Mytilus edulis: one gene and its partner. The protein of the gene in region 2 interacts with the protein of the main gene of each other region in a biochemical or structural test. Links are inferred from orthologs where the notes say so. Each region holds a gene or a part of one and is shown on either strand. Other genes may lie near its edges.

Region 1 (7,298 bases), on a different chromosome or scaffold from region 2:
GTCATCGGTTCTTTCAAAGTTTATAACTAATGCATTACAGCAGTTTGATAATGTTGCATAAGCACATACATTTCATAAAAAAAACCATAATTTATTTCTATATATTGTTGTTTTGCATTATGAATTGCATGGACACCGGTATGCTTTATACCTATATTATTTGGATTAATCAAATCTACCTATGTCTATAGAAAAAAAATTTCACATCATACATGATCACTGTATTCAAAGGACACTGGTTAACGTATGGTTAGATCAATCAAACATATTGCCATCCCTGTTATTGAAATGACGGAACTAAGCTAGCATGCTGATGTCCAGATAAACATATTGCATAGATCCAAATATACGTATATCGATATGGAATTTATGTGATTTAAAAAATCTACATTTTAGAGTGCCATGGATTTTAAGCTGAAACTATTCGTAATTTGAACAATCGTTTTGTGGGCACGGTCAAATTTGATTGATATTTAAGTACGCATTGCTTTTGCGCCAATTCTTAAAAGTTGTAGTTTTTCATTTGCGCCAAAAAATAAATATTGCTTCTGCGCCATTGTGCAGGTAAACTAATTAAAAAGTGAAAATATAGAAAATTTAAACAATATCTACGGACACACCAGCTGTCGTCAGGAGATAGGAGAAAAAAAAAAACAGATTAAATACGGAATGCACCTCTAGAACCGAAATTTCCCGCTGATATTATAGTAAGACCTTTGCCTATAGGTTTTGTAACAGAACAGACTTTTAGTTTTTATAAATACTTTGATTAACAGCAGTTATTATTGTGGTTTTATGACTTTTAAGGAGTTACCATTTTTTATAGTGCTTTGATAAATCCGAAAATGTTTTAACAATTTGCAAACATTTTTTTATTATAGTGTAAACCAGTGTTTAGTGCTCATATTTTTATAAAGATATATTTTAAACATATGTTTTAATATTTATGAGACCTTGTTTCTAATATAAAATTGAGAATGGAAATGGGGATCACTGTTTCTTATCATCTTCGGAAGGCCCCTTTTTTAATTTATAATTACCAATGGAAGTAGAAAGACCTTTTGTCTAACCTGTCTTTGTGATATTTTTTATACGTCCGTCAATTTTGACGGGACGTATTATGGTATACAAATGTCCAGTGTCCGTCCGTCCGTCCGTCCGTCCGTCCGTCCGTCCGTCCGTCCGTCTGTCCGTCTGTCCGGTGTAAACATGTCGCACCGTAACTTGAGAACGACTTATCCAAATTTCATGAAACTTAACATAGTTGTTTCTTATGATGGTCAAATGATCTGTATACTTTTTTGTGAAAATAAGATTACAACTTTTTGAGTTATGGCACTTTGTAACTAAAACAGGGGTGTGTTTTTTTCACATGTCGCACCGTATCTCAAAAACGATTCTTGATCATGGCTTAAAACTTTAAATGCTTCTTAGTTATATTAATCTTAATATCTGTATACTTTTTGGTGATGATTCAAAATTTCATTTTTGAGTTATTGAGTATTTTGTAAAATAAAAAGGGGGGGGGGGGGGGTTACATGTCGCACCATATCTCAAAAACGATTTATGATTATTGCTTAAAACTTTACACACTTCTTTGTTATATTAATCTAAAGATCTGTATACTTTTTGGTGATGATTCATTTTTATATTTTCGAGTTATTGAGTTTTTTTGTAAAAAAAGAGATTTTTTTTTCACATGTTGAGCTGTATCTCTATTGCTTAAAACTTAACAGGCTAATGTTGCGTCGGGTTTCCAAATACATCTTGTACAATCTTCCTATTGAGCGGGAATAAGGAATGAGTCAGGATATACTAAGCATGACATCCTGTACAACCCTGTGTTATTCAAAAAAGATTTATGTTTTTTCACAAGACGACGGGCGTATCATGCGCTCATGGCGCAGCTGTTTATCTAAATATTGATCAAGTCGAAATGTTATCTAAAACACTTACCACTCATTCAAAAAAGAAGGGTCTGACTTGTTTTTATCATACTGCTTTTATTACATTATAGATGTCTGTTTCCGTTGATTCCGTTAAATACCAATTCCTCAGAACAATTGGTACTTTGCGGAACGGAAAAATAAATTAAAAAGTTTAAATCAGAGTCAACTTGATCACTGTCTCTAATCATCGTCGGAACGGGCTGTTGAAGGCCTCTTTTTTAAAATATAATTACCGATGGAAGGAGAAAGACTTTTTGTGTAACCTGCCTTTGTGTTAATTTTTTTTTATTATTGATCAAGTCGAAAATGCTATCTAAAACACATACCACTCATGCAAAAAGAGGTGTCAGACAATTTTTGTTATCATACTGCTTTTATTACATTACAGATGTCTGTTTCCGTTTTTTCCGTTAAATACCAATTCCTCAGAGCAATTGGTACTTTGCGGAACGGAACGGAACGGAAAAATAAATTAAAAAGTTTAAATCAGATTCAACTTGATCACTGTCTCTAATCATCGTCGGAACGGGCTGTTGAAGGCCTCTTTTTTAAAATATAATTACCGATGGAAGGAGAAAGACTTTTTGTGTAACCTGCCTTTGTGTTAATTTTTTATTATTATTGATCAAGTCGAAAATGCTATCTAAAACACATACCACTCATGCAAAAAGAGGTGTCAGACAATTTTTGTTATCATACTGCTTTTATTACATTACAGATGTCTGTTTCCGTTTTTTCCGTTAAATACCAATTCCTCAGAGCAATTGGTACTTTGCGGAACGGAACGGAACGGAAAATAAATTAAAAAGTTTAAATCAGATTCAACTTGATCACTGTCTCTAATCAAGGACGACGTGAGGTCAGTCTAGATATCATAATGCATGACTTGCAAATGCGTTAATTTCATGATAATTTATCACGACAATCCCGGCGACATATTCATCTACAGAATATTTCCCGATGTTATACATTATTACACATTTCACCTGTGAAGATGAGATTAAGTATACATTTGTGTTATTTGTATATGGAAAACCGTAAAACACAGAAATTTTAAAGTTTGTTTTGTTTTAAAGATTTTTCGAAATTTTGATAAATGCCCCCTTTGGATACCTTAAATGAAATTCCGTTCCGTTCCGTAAAGTACCAATAGCCATCTAGTGATTATCATTTATTGATATTAAAAAAATGATTTTTCACTATCAAAAAAATGATTTTTCACTATCAAAAAAATGATTTTTCAATATTAAAAAAAGATTTTTGTCATAAATAAATGATTTTTAATAATAATAAATGAGTTTTCAATATTACATTCGATTTCATTGAGTGAGTATGGAAAGGTTAAATCCTTGGTTAGCTTACCTGTTAGCTGAACCGTGCAGTCATTATTAAGTTTAACATGTTTAATAGGTAAACTATCCTCCTTTAAGAGTAGACTAGTCCGACAGACAACCAATCTATCTGTCTGTAGGACTAGACTACTTCGAAAGAAGTAGTATTATTGTATAGCAATATAATATTTCCCACAGAAAGTAACCAAAAGTTAGCGTGCAATAAATTCTAATATTGCACTAGTGCAATAAATCTTCAAAATTCATGACATCATCAACGACAAAATCTTAGTTTAAACCAATTTTTACTTTTAAATATTATATTGCTATACAATAAAAGGGTTATTGCATGAATATTGGGGAATATTGTCCCTCGTAGAACATATATTGCACTCGCAAGCTCGTGCAATATAAAATTCTACTCGGGACAATATTCCCCAATATTCATGCAATAACCCTATATTACTATACCTTACATGACCTAAATCTCAGAGCTAACCTAATAATGAATTCATGGTTCAGCTAACAAGCAAGCTAACCAAGTTTACTGTCACAGAATGGAAGTTCCTTCATAATATAAGTTCCAAAAAAGAAAAAAATATTCTGGAACACAATTTCCAAAGGAATAAATATATTACAGTATATGTTCCCAACGGAATAAATGGTATAGAATATTTGTTCCAACAGGAATAGATATAATTACAATATTTATAACAAAGTTTCCATTGGAACTTCTGTTAGGTGGAACAAATATATACCTTACCCTACACACTCAATGCAATCGGCTGTAATAAATGAATTATTAATATTTAAAAAAGATACAGGATTTTTGTTTATATAAAACAAGGATTTGTATAGTAAGAACTTACTATACAAATCCTTGTATAAAAGTAGTCACTTTCTGATATAAGGTACGTTGTGGTGCATTTATTTTTACAATATGAATGAGGAAGTTAGTCTTGATCACGTATTCTGCCTCGTTTTAGAAACCAACGCTATCTTTCTTCGCCATTTTTCACAACACGTCAGCCGTAGGAAAAGAAAACGAAGCATGTCTTACGGACGACCATCAAATGATTCCAGAATTTATGTTGGCAATCTCCCACCTGATATAAGAGCTAGAGACATTGAAGATTTATTTTATAAATTTGGACGAATTAACTTTGTTGACTTGAAAACAAGACGAGGGCCCCCTTTTGCCTTTGTTGAATTTGAGGACCCACGGTAAACACTTTGTTTAGTTTATTTAAATTTAAAACTGTCAATATTTTTTCTTGGCAATTTCAAGGTGTAAACCTACTTGTATTGTGGCTGTGCTCATAGCCATATTTACATGTAAAACTGAGTAAGAGAGTATTTACTAATAATAATATTAAAAATCACAGGCACTTGTTTCTATTCATGAAGGTACTGTCTACTGTAGTAATTTTACTGTCAGTCGTCAAATAGTCAGTCTTCACGACAAGTGGCAGCCCAGGCTGGTAAAATTGCTCTTGGCCTGTAAAAATCAGACCTACAGGCCAACAGAATATAACTAAAAATTTTCAAAAATTGAGCTGTGGGCCTGTAGATTTAGCAGTTCAGAGTGAAGACTGAACAGTCATTTTAGGCATCAGTTGGTGTCATTGGTTTTACCGTGATTCGTTCGAAATATCCTTTTATATCGTGAATCGTCAGAGGTCTCATAAAATTATCGTTACCTCAATTGGTAAAAATTTGTCAGAGCAGACCTTCCATCTAAACATGAAACCCTAGAAAATTACAACACTGCCAGCGATATTGTTGGCTTTTTTCAAAACTACCTCTAGTTACCCTTTTTATTGGGAAAATATGCGTCATTTTCATCAAATTGGGAAATTTAAAATCATGAATATGACTGAAACTTCAATTTACAGACCCATTTTCAAGAGTCAAACCCTGCTTTGAAATAAGACCCTGTGATGATACATAAATAGACCCTCAAATGTGCACATATAGTCATTTTAGGCAAGAAAATTGTTTAAATGAGTGTTTTTAAAGGGGCACTAGCTGTCAAATTCATTGTAACCGATTTGACTCAAATTCTCATATTTGGTTTATAACAATGTAAAACATTTATCCAAACTATCAAAAGTCTAAAATAAGCAGTTTACAGAGCATGGGGTAGATAATATATAGGTTCGTTTCGTGTGTATTTTAGTCCAGACGCCATCTAATTAACTATCGATTTGACCTCAGATGACCATATTAGCGATGTAAACAAAAATTAAGATACGAATAGATTAAACCAACACGTGCAATTGCATTTTTATAGGTCTGTTTGATTTTATTTTATAGATTAAAAATAGATGTTTCTCATTGTTTTTAACCATATAAGAATGACTTTATGTGCATCGAATTAGTAATCAAATGATTTACCGTAGTTTCACTTTCATTGTTGACATTCTTTTTCTTTAAATAACCAGTACACGTACAACGCATGCGTTGTCAATCTCTAGCTAGGGGTTAAGGTTCATCATAAGGAATTGAAAAATATGGCCGTGTTTACACCTCCAAAATTACTATGAGTACAGACAAACTGGTACATCCAGGAAAGTTTTAAGGCATGGCAGGAACTAGATATATAAAAGTTATATGAAGTCTTCGTTTCAGAAAATTAAAAACTTACCTGGATTTTGATGTTCATTTTTTTCCAGTCTGCAGAAGATAGCAAAATAAACAAACACCCGAGTTTCATTTGATACGGTCCACTCAGTTACACAGTTTAAACCTGTTAAATAACCTATTGTTTACAGGTGTCTTGTCCATCTATTGTCCATTTAAATCAATACTACTCACAACATTGATTATATGAGTGGAGCTTCTCAATCGTTTTCACTACTTAGTTAATTTTTGCACCTTCTGCAGGAACGAAAAAAAATGGATAGCAAAATCTAGAAAAGTTTATAATTTTCTGAAACATAAAATGCATTTAAAATTTATATATCTAGTTCCTGCCATCCCTTAAAACTGTTGCAGGTGTATAGGTTAGTCTGTACTCAGAGTAAAATTTGGGGTGTAAATACGGCCATTTTAGCCAAAAGGTTATGATGAACCTTAACTTGAAGTTCACATGAATACCGGTTAGAATGATGATGACGTTTTCACTTGCAAGTGAATCAGTCACAGTGTTCCAGCTAGGTTTTCAAAAGGGCAGGGTGCCAATCCTGAAAAAGGGCATTTAACGCGCGATATGATAATATGAAAAGGGCATATTTTAATAAAAGATGTTAATCAAACATTTGTGTTTATTCGTTGAATCACAGGTTATACAAGAACAACATCTTTAGCCCATATAGAACTCTATCTTTCTACTTTTAAGGCTGAAAAACTTGTCAAGCAGCTTGTCACACAAGTTTTTTTTATCATTGCTTGGCACAGTTGAACTTTATATGCAGTATGTTTTGAAAGGAGATCTGTTTCATACTGTTTCTATGGTCTACCACATTTTACCAGTTTCACCTTTCTACCCCTGCTGTGCTTGATGGCAATACAGCACAAAACAGCTGTGCTCAGTAAATTCACAATTTTAGGATATAAAGCAACAGTGAAAAATAGTATCAAAAATAAAGAATACAGAAAAAGATGACCAAGGCACCCTACAAACACTGCTACTAAGACCCTCTTTAACTTTTCCCATAACTCAAAATAAATACCTAAACATATATATTCTTAAGCAAGAAGTATGGAGACACATTTTAGAATATGTAAATGGGTTACTCAATGCTAGGAAAAAAATCAGATTGAGTTATCTTTCTTTATTCGGGTGTGCTCCTTCTTTGGAGGATTATAAACAGTACGTAAATATGATGTAAATATGATCACAATATGGCAGCCGATTTTGTTATTTTCGTATCAAAAATGAAGGCAGTCAATGACAAATACGTCTGAATTTTCTGTTTATTTTACAGAAAACAAGTAAAACAATGTCTTCAACGAGTTTATAATGGTTTTCCAACTTTCTGTCATTACGTTTCTTCCATGAAACTACGGTAAACAT
Region 2 (7,786 bases):
TTGTGATGCTTGGTATAGTATTGACTAACCATAACTTACCAAAAGGCGGTTACATGGAAGTAAGATGCACTTTGTTGTGGTAGTTGTGATGCTTGGTATGGTATTGACTAACCATAACTTACCAAAAGGCGGTAACATGGAAGTAAGATGCACTTTGTTGTGGTAGTTGTGATGCTTGGTATAGTATTGACTAACCATAACTTACCAAAAGGCGGTTACATGGAAGTAAGATGCACTTTGTTGTGGTAGTTGTGATGCTTGGTATGGTATTGACTAACCATAACTTACCAAAAGGCGGTAACATGGAAGCAAGATGCACTTTGTTGTGGTAGTTGTAATGCTTGGTATGGTATTGACTAACCATAACTTACCAAAAGGCGGTTACATGGAAGTAAGATGCACTTTGTTGTGGTAGTTGTGATGCTTGGTATGGTATTGACTAACCATAACTTACCAAAAGGCGGTTACATGGAAGTAAGATGCACTTTGTTGTGGTAGTTGTGATGCTTGGTATGGTATTGACTAACCATAACTTACCAAAAGGCGGTTACATGGAAGTAAGGTGCACTTTGTTGTGGTAGTTGTGATGCTTGGTATGGTATTGACTAACCATAACTTACCAAAAGGCGGTAACATGGAAGTAAGATGCACTTTGTTGTGGTAGTTGTGATGCTTGGTATGGTATTGACTAACCATAACCTACCAAAAGGCGGTTACATGGAAGTAAGATGCACTTTGTTGTGGTAGTAGTGATGCTTGGTATGGTATTGACTAACCATAACTTACCAAAAGGCGGTAACATGGAAGTAAGATGCACTTTGTTGTGGTAGTTGTGATGCTTGGTATGGTATTGACTAACCATAACTTACCAAAAGGCGGTTACATGGAAGTAAGATGCACTTTGTTGTGGTAGTTGTGATGCTTGGTATGGTATTGACTAACCATAACTTACCAAAAGGCGGTTACATGGAAGTAAGATGCACTTTGTTGTGGTAGTTGTAATGCTTGGTATGGTATTGACTAACCATAACTTACCAAAAGGCGGTAACATGGAAGTAAGATGCACTTTGTTGTGGTAGTAGTGATGCTTGGTATGGTATTGACTAACCATAACTTACCAAAAGGCGGTAACATGGAAGTAAGATGCACTTTGTTGTGGTAGTTGTAATGCTTGGTATGGTATTGACTAACCATAACTTACCAAAAGGCGGTAACATGGAAGTAAGATGCACTTTGTTGTGGTAGTTGTGATGCTTGGTATGGTATTGACTAACCATAACTTACCAAAAGGCGATTACATGGAAGTAAGATGCACTTTGTTGTGGTAGTTGTAATGCTTGGTATGGTATTGACTAACCATAACTTACCAAAAGGCGGTAACATGGAAGTAAGATGCACTTTGTTGTGGTAGTTGTGATGCTTGGTATGGTATTGACTAACCATAACTTACCAAAAGGCGGTAACATGGAAGTAAGATGCACTTTGTTGTGGTAGTTGTGATGCTTGGTATGGTATTGACTAACCATAACTTACCAAAAGGCGGTTACATGGAAGTAAGATGCACTTTGTTGTGGTAGTTGTGATGCTTGGTATGGTATTGACTAACCATAACTTACCAAAAGGCGGTTACATGGAAGTAAGATGCACTTTGTTGTGGTAGTTGTGATGCTTGGTATGGTATTGACTAACCATAACTTACCAAAAGGCGGTTACATGGAAGTAAGATGCACTTTGTTGTGGTAGTTGTAATGCTTGGTATGGTATTGACTAACCATAACTTACCAAAAGGCGGTTACACGGAAGTAAGATGCACTTTGTTGTGGTAGTTGTGATGCTTGGTATGGTATTGACTAACCATAACTTACCAAAAGGCGGTAACATGGAAGTAAGATGCACTTTGTTGTGGTAGTTGTGATGCTTGGTATAGTATTGACTAACCATAACCTACCAAAAGGCGGTAACATGGAAGTAAGATGCACTTTGTTGTGGTAGTTGTGATGCTTGGTATAGTATTGACTAACCATAACTTACCAAAAGGCGGTTACATGGAAGTAAGATGCACTTTGTTGTGGTAGTTGTAATGCTTGGTATGGTATTGACTAACCATAACTTACCAAAAGGCGGTAACATGGAAGTAAGATGCACTTTGTTGTGGTAGTTGTGATGCTTGGTATGGTATTGACTAACCATAACTTACCAAAAGGCGGTAACATGGAAGTAAGATGCACTTTGTTGTGGTAGTTGTGATGCTTGGTATGGTATTGACTAACCATAACTTACCAAAAGGCGGTTACATGGAAGTAAGATGCACTTTGTTGTGGTAGTTGTGATGCTTGGTATAGTATTGACTAACCATAACTTACCAAAAGGCGGTAACATGGAAGTCAGATGCACTTTGTTGTGGTAGTTGTGATGCTTGGTATGGTATTGACTAACCATAACCTACCAAAAGGCGGTTACATGGAAGTAAGATGCACTTTGTTGTGGTAGTTGTGATGCTTGGTATAGTATTGACTAACCATAACTTACCAAAAGGCGGTAACATGGAAGTCAGATGCACTTTGTTGTGGTAGTAGTGATGCTTGGTATGGTATTGACTAACCATAACTTACCAAAAGGCGGTAACATGGAAGCTAGATGCACTTTGTTGTGGTAGTTGTGATGCTTGGTATGGTATTGACTAACCATAACTTACCAAAAGGCGGTAACATGGAAGTAAGATGCACTTTGTTGTGGTAGTTGTGATGCTTGGTATGGTATTGACTAACCATAACTTACCAAAAGGCGGTAACATGGAAGCTAGATGCACTTTGTTGTGGTAGTTGTGATGCTTGGTATGGTATTTACTGCAAAGGTATGGTACCCCTTATTATGGATGACAGTTACACTTCAATCATTCCATAATTCAAACTTTATACTTACATGATATTCTAAATGATGACTCGTAATTGGGAATTCCTGGTGTCACAAAAGCCACATCTTTTCTAACTCCCAAACATGCGGTAAAAATCAAAAGCGAGATAAACGCACTACAAATAAGACAGGTTTATAATGATTTTCATTCCATGCAGAACCGTGATAAAAAAGATCTTTTGCATTTAATATATATAGATTTTACAGAACCATGCAGTATATATAATTATCGCTATTTTGTGCATTTTCCTTTGATCTTTTTTGTGATAATTTTTCATATCATGTTACTCGCTTGAGATGAAAAAATAATCGCTAGAATCTAAGGAGGCACGTGGCGTTGCTTATGAAATTGACATGAAATTGACGACGTTGTCAATTGACAACGTCGTCATAGGTAAAATAGCAATAAACAGATTGTCATGGCAATCATACCACATCTCTTTACTTTTTTTTTTTTTTTTTTTTAGAAAATACGTAATGCTGAAACTAGGATTGACAGTATTTCAGTACTGTACTTCCTAACATAAAGTTCTATTGAATATATAAGGAATCGAAAAACTACCATGTAAACACAATCAATACTTCAGGTGAAGAGTATTACGATTTTGTTGGTATACAGCAACACACGACAACTGTTGTATTACAAGCTCCTCGGTGACTTTGGACAGGCACATAACAGAACAGTGGCGGATCCAGAACTTTTCATAAGGGAGGGGGGGGCGGTGGGGGTACGGACTGATCTAATGTTGGGGTTCTCTCCAGTCATTCTTCAGTGATTCTCTATATAATCAATCAAATTTTTCCCACGAAAAGTGGGCCGGGTCCTCAAGCTCCTTGGATCTGCATATGCAGAATAATGTGGGATTAAACAGTTGCAGTTCAAGTTGCTGGTGCCAAATCCTCCTCTTACCTGGCCCAACAGTTACGACAGTACTACTTGAGACTACTATATATATATATACATATACAGCTCGTCTAAACATCAACCCAACAATGTTAGATCTGTAAATTTGCTTTCGCTAATTTTTTGTTCTTCCCTCGCCGCCCGGGATTCGAACCCATGCTACTGAGATATCGTGACACCAAATCGCCTATATTAAACATGCCAAAATTATAAAAAAAAAATGAAAAATTATTATGAAATTAAAAAATATATTTTTAATCATTAAGGCAGCAACCATTTGATTTTTTTTTTTTGGGGGGGGGGCTATGGATATTTTTTCTGGAAAACTTTTTTTCGCCTTTGGCGAAAAACAATCTATTTTTTTGGCGACAAGTCGAAAACAATTTTTTTCTATTAATTTTTATCATTACATATGGTGGCAGCTGAGGGTGTAACAAACAATTTTTTTTATCGGGGTCAGAAACAAATTATTTTTTTTCTCCCAAAACTGGAAACAAACTTTTAAAACCATAGCCCCCCTCCCCCTCCAGAAAATCAAATGGTTGCTGCCTAACAACTTGCGCCAGAAAGTAATCAAGTGGTTGATGTTTTTCTGTATATAAAGAAGAAGAGACCTTGCTCTTCCCCAGTTTCTCTGAGCATAATACAAAAAAGTATCAGAGGTATATATAATACTTATACTTATGTGAGATCATATGTCTCTGTTGCTACTATACAAATCTCTTAATTGTTCTCGTTAACAAAAATAAATTGTTCTCCCCTTCCAATCTAAATATCTAATAGCAAGTTTTTTTTTTAGTGCTTTAAGATCTTTTATGTTCGGCAATATTAGCTTGATATAGTAATACATAATTATTTATATATTAGCCATAGGCAAACTTTTAAAAATAGCGTTTAAAATTCCCGCGTTACAATTAAAATCACAGGTGGTTAAATCCGGGGTTTTTAAACATGCGCAGACAGCAATTGTATGGACTTAGCCGTTTCAGCACAAATTGCTTCGCCATAAAACGTGGACCCTGATAGAAAATAACTATCTGCGTAATGGAATCTCCGATGGAGACTGAACAACCTGGAATGCTTGAGGTATGTAGAATTAATATATCTTTAATTATTTTTGATCTTCATATATTTTCGATGAGCCTTTTACTCTGTACACATACCAGAAATTATTCGAACAAAGAACCGAGAAAATGACAAAGTCAAGATGGCCGCAAAATTTCTAAGTCCGACTTTGAAACATTGACTTTTTTGACGATTTTATCTTAGAATTAAACCATTAGTAGGTGGTTGTTAATTTTTTGTAATTGGTATATTTGAAGATGATATATAATTGCTTCGTTTTCTTTATTTGAAGGGTGCTGGTGATTTCGTTGAGAGCCAACAAAGCGGTGAGTATTTTTGCATATCTTTGAAATATCGACAAAATGGCTAAGTCCAGACTGTAGTCAGTAAAGGCAGGTAACTCAAGCGTGAACTTTTCAATTGTAAGTCGATGTTGGCATCATTTGCTGATTTCATACATATTTAAAAACAAGTGTTGTTGTTGATGAGTAAATGTAAAAAAAAAAATATTTCCATTAGAAGAAAAAAAGATGGATTTTAATGTTGTCCATATTTATTTGCCATCCCAGCAGAAACTTGCAAAATAAAAAGTGTGGTTTGTCTAAACTAAATTTGTCTAAAGATGATTAAAACAAATTACAGAATTGGGCTTTTTATTCCCTGAACATGACATTAAACAGGAAAGAAGAAACATACAGTTGTATACACATGATGTACCCCCCCCCCCCCCCCAAAAAAAAAAAAAGAATTCTGTTAAATCCCTAAAACTGCTTGACGATAATTCTTAACTAAAAAGGTTATTTTGTAGAGATAATTTTAATTAAATATAAAAAAAAATTGTCTGTAGTTATTTATGTTTTTATTTTATCCACTTGTACCATGTCCATGAACACAGTTTTGTTTGTGCTCGATAATTTTTTTCTCATTGAAAATTTTAAATTTTAGGCAACAAAAAGCTGGGATTCTCAAAATTTCGACTTTTCAACCCAAATTCTCAATTTTGGTCAAGTCTCCTCTATTATCAGAAAAGTTTGAAAAATTTTCCAGGTTTTAAGGTTGTACAAATTTAAAGATGTTCATTCCAAGTGTTTTTGTACATAAAATGACATTTCATGTAAAAAAATGTAGCCTAGTCTGGCTTCAATTATTCAATATTCTTTAAAAAAAAAATTCTCTAATTAATAGGCTATTATTTGAACTTGGAATTATTTTTAATTATGGAATTTGCATAATTTCTTGTGTTTAAAATTTTTAATAAATTTCATGTTTATTTGGTATTAGAATCTTTTAAGTGGTTAATAACACTTTCCATACAATGTATTTTGGTTAGATAGTGTTGTGCGCGGCACAGTACATTCTATTGAAAATATACTATTTTCTTTGTAATCGAAAGTGTTGTGCACAGCACAGAACATTTCAGTACAGAATAAACATGGAATTTCTTAAAAATTTCAATAACAAGAAATCAAGCAAATTCCATAATTAAAAATAATTCCAAGTTCAAATAATAGCCTGTTAATTTCAAATTCTAGTTAAATCCATAAATTTCAACTGATGGTGACACAGTTTGCAACAAACAGAAGCACCATGTTTACACTTTTATCTTGGTATTAAACAAAGAAGCATAACTTTATTTACTTGTGTTTCACTGTTTTAAGCGGGAAATACAAAAGATGTATTCAGATCCCAGTATAAAACCCGTTATTCATAGGTGAAAGTGTTAAGAAAATATAAAAATATTTTTCAGAATTTACAAGTTAACCAGTTAAAATTCCATGACAAACTACATTTTGTATGTATAACTTGTAAAATGTCTTGATTTTGCTGCAGATGAGAACAATTTTCAACATGTTTAATGTACAAAGATAATTTCATTTGAAATATTGGCTTGATTTGTTATCTTCACAGTTGCTGAAATGAAAGCTAAATTACATGAGACCAGCAGTGTGAACCATATTGATGAGTCGAAACAGAATGGACATTTGAGCAACCATAACTCTTCTAGGAAAAGTGAGGGACACCACAGTTCCTCAAGTTCAAAGCATTCCTCATCCCACAGTTCATCCAAGCATAAAGATGGTTCAAGCTCCAGTAAACACAGCAGCAGCAGCAAACACAAGGATGGGAGTTCTTCTAGCAGCAAGCATCGTGATGGACATGGCTCAAGTAGTAGCAAAAGCAAGGAAGGGAGCTCATCAAGCTCTTCCAACAAACCTAGTAGCAGCAGCTCTAGTAGTAAACATAAGGAAGGTGGCAGTAGTTCAAGTAGTAAGCACAGGGAAGGACATAGCTCAAGCTCCAGTCATTCCAAAGACAAGTCACAGAGCTCATCATCTAGTTCTAGCAAAGATAAAAAAGAAAGTTCTAGTAAGTCGAGCGGCAGTTCAAGTGACAAACACAAATCAGGTAGTAGTTCTGGTGATAAACATAAGTCGAGTAGCAGTTCTGGTGACAAACACAAGTCAAGCAGCAGCTCAAGTGACAGACACAAGTCAAGTAGTAGCTCAGGTGACAAGCACAGATCAAGCAGTAGCTCTGCAGAAAAGCATAGGGATGGTTCCCCTAGCAAACACAAAGAGCATAGAGAGAAAGAAAGACAAAAAGAAGATAAGGAGAACAGAGTAGAGAGGCAGAAAGAATATGATAATATCAAAGAAGAACCCAATGAAGACATCCATAAAGAGACTATGGAAGTAGATATCAAAAGTGAACCAGCATCCCCTGTAAAGATGTCTCCAACTAAAGCTCCTAAGGAAGAAACATTGAGTGATGATGATGAAGATATAGATGTAGATGATGTACCTTTGGTAAGTAAAATTATAATGTAAATCTTTCAAATTTTCAGGTTATACATGTACATTGTATGTATAGTTTTTTTTTCAAATTTTACGAAAAGAGATTTTA

Evidence for each region.
Region 1: the proteins of DNA topoisomerase I, mitochondrial-like (region 2) and serine/arginine-rich splicing factor 1-like form a complex in vitro, tested with the Homo sapiens proteins (2 studies listed by BioGRID, with this or other methods). The link is inferred for Mytilus edulis from reciprocal best matches to the Homo sapiens genes TOP1 and SRSF1.

What each region holds. Positions count from the first base shown.
Region 1 is NC_092349.1:62,473,795-62,481,092, forward strand, and holds the start of serine/arginine-rich splicing factor 1-like, read left to right. Parts: upstream 1-4,253; 5' UTR 4,254-4,331; coding exon 4,332-4,504; intron 4,505-7,298. UniProt on the Homo sapiens protein: Plays a role in preventing exon skipping, ensuring the accuracy of splicing and regulating alternative splicing.
Region 2 is NC_092348.1:94,547,681-94,555,466, reverse strand, and holds the start of DNA topoisomerase I, mitochondrial-like, read left to right. Parts: upstream 1-4,761; 5' UTR 4,762-4,861; coding exon 4,862-4,903; intron 4,904-5,174; coding exon 5,175-5,208; intron 5,209-6,790; coding exon 6,791-7,689; intron 7,690-7,786. UniProt on the Homo sapiens protein: Releases the supercoiling and torsional tension of DNA introduced during the DNA replication and transcription by transiently cleaving and rejoining one strand of the DNA duplex.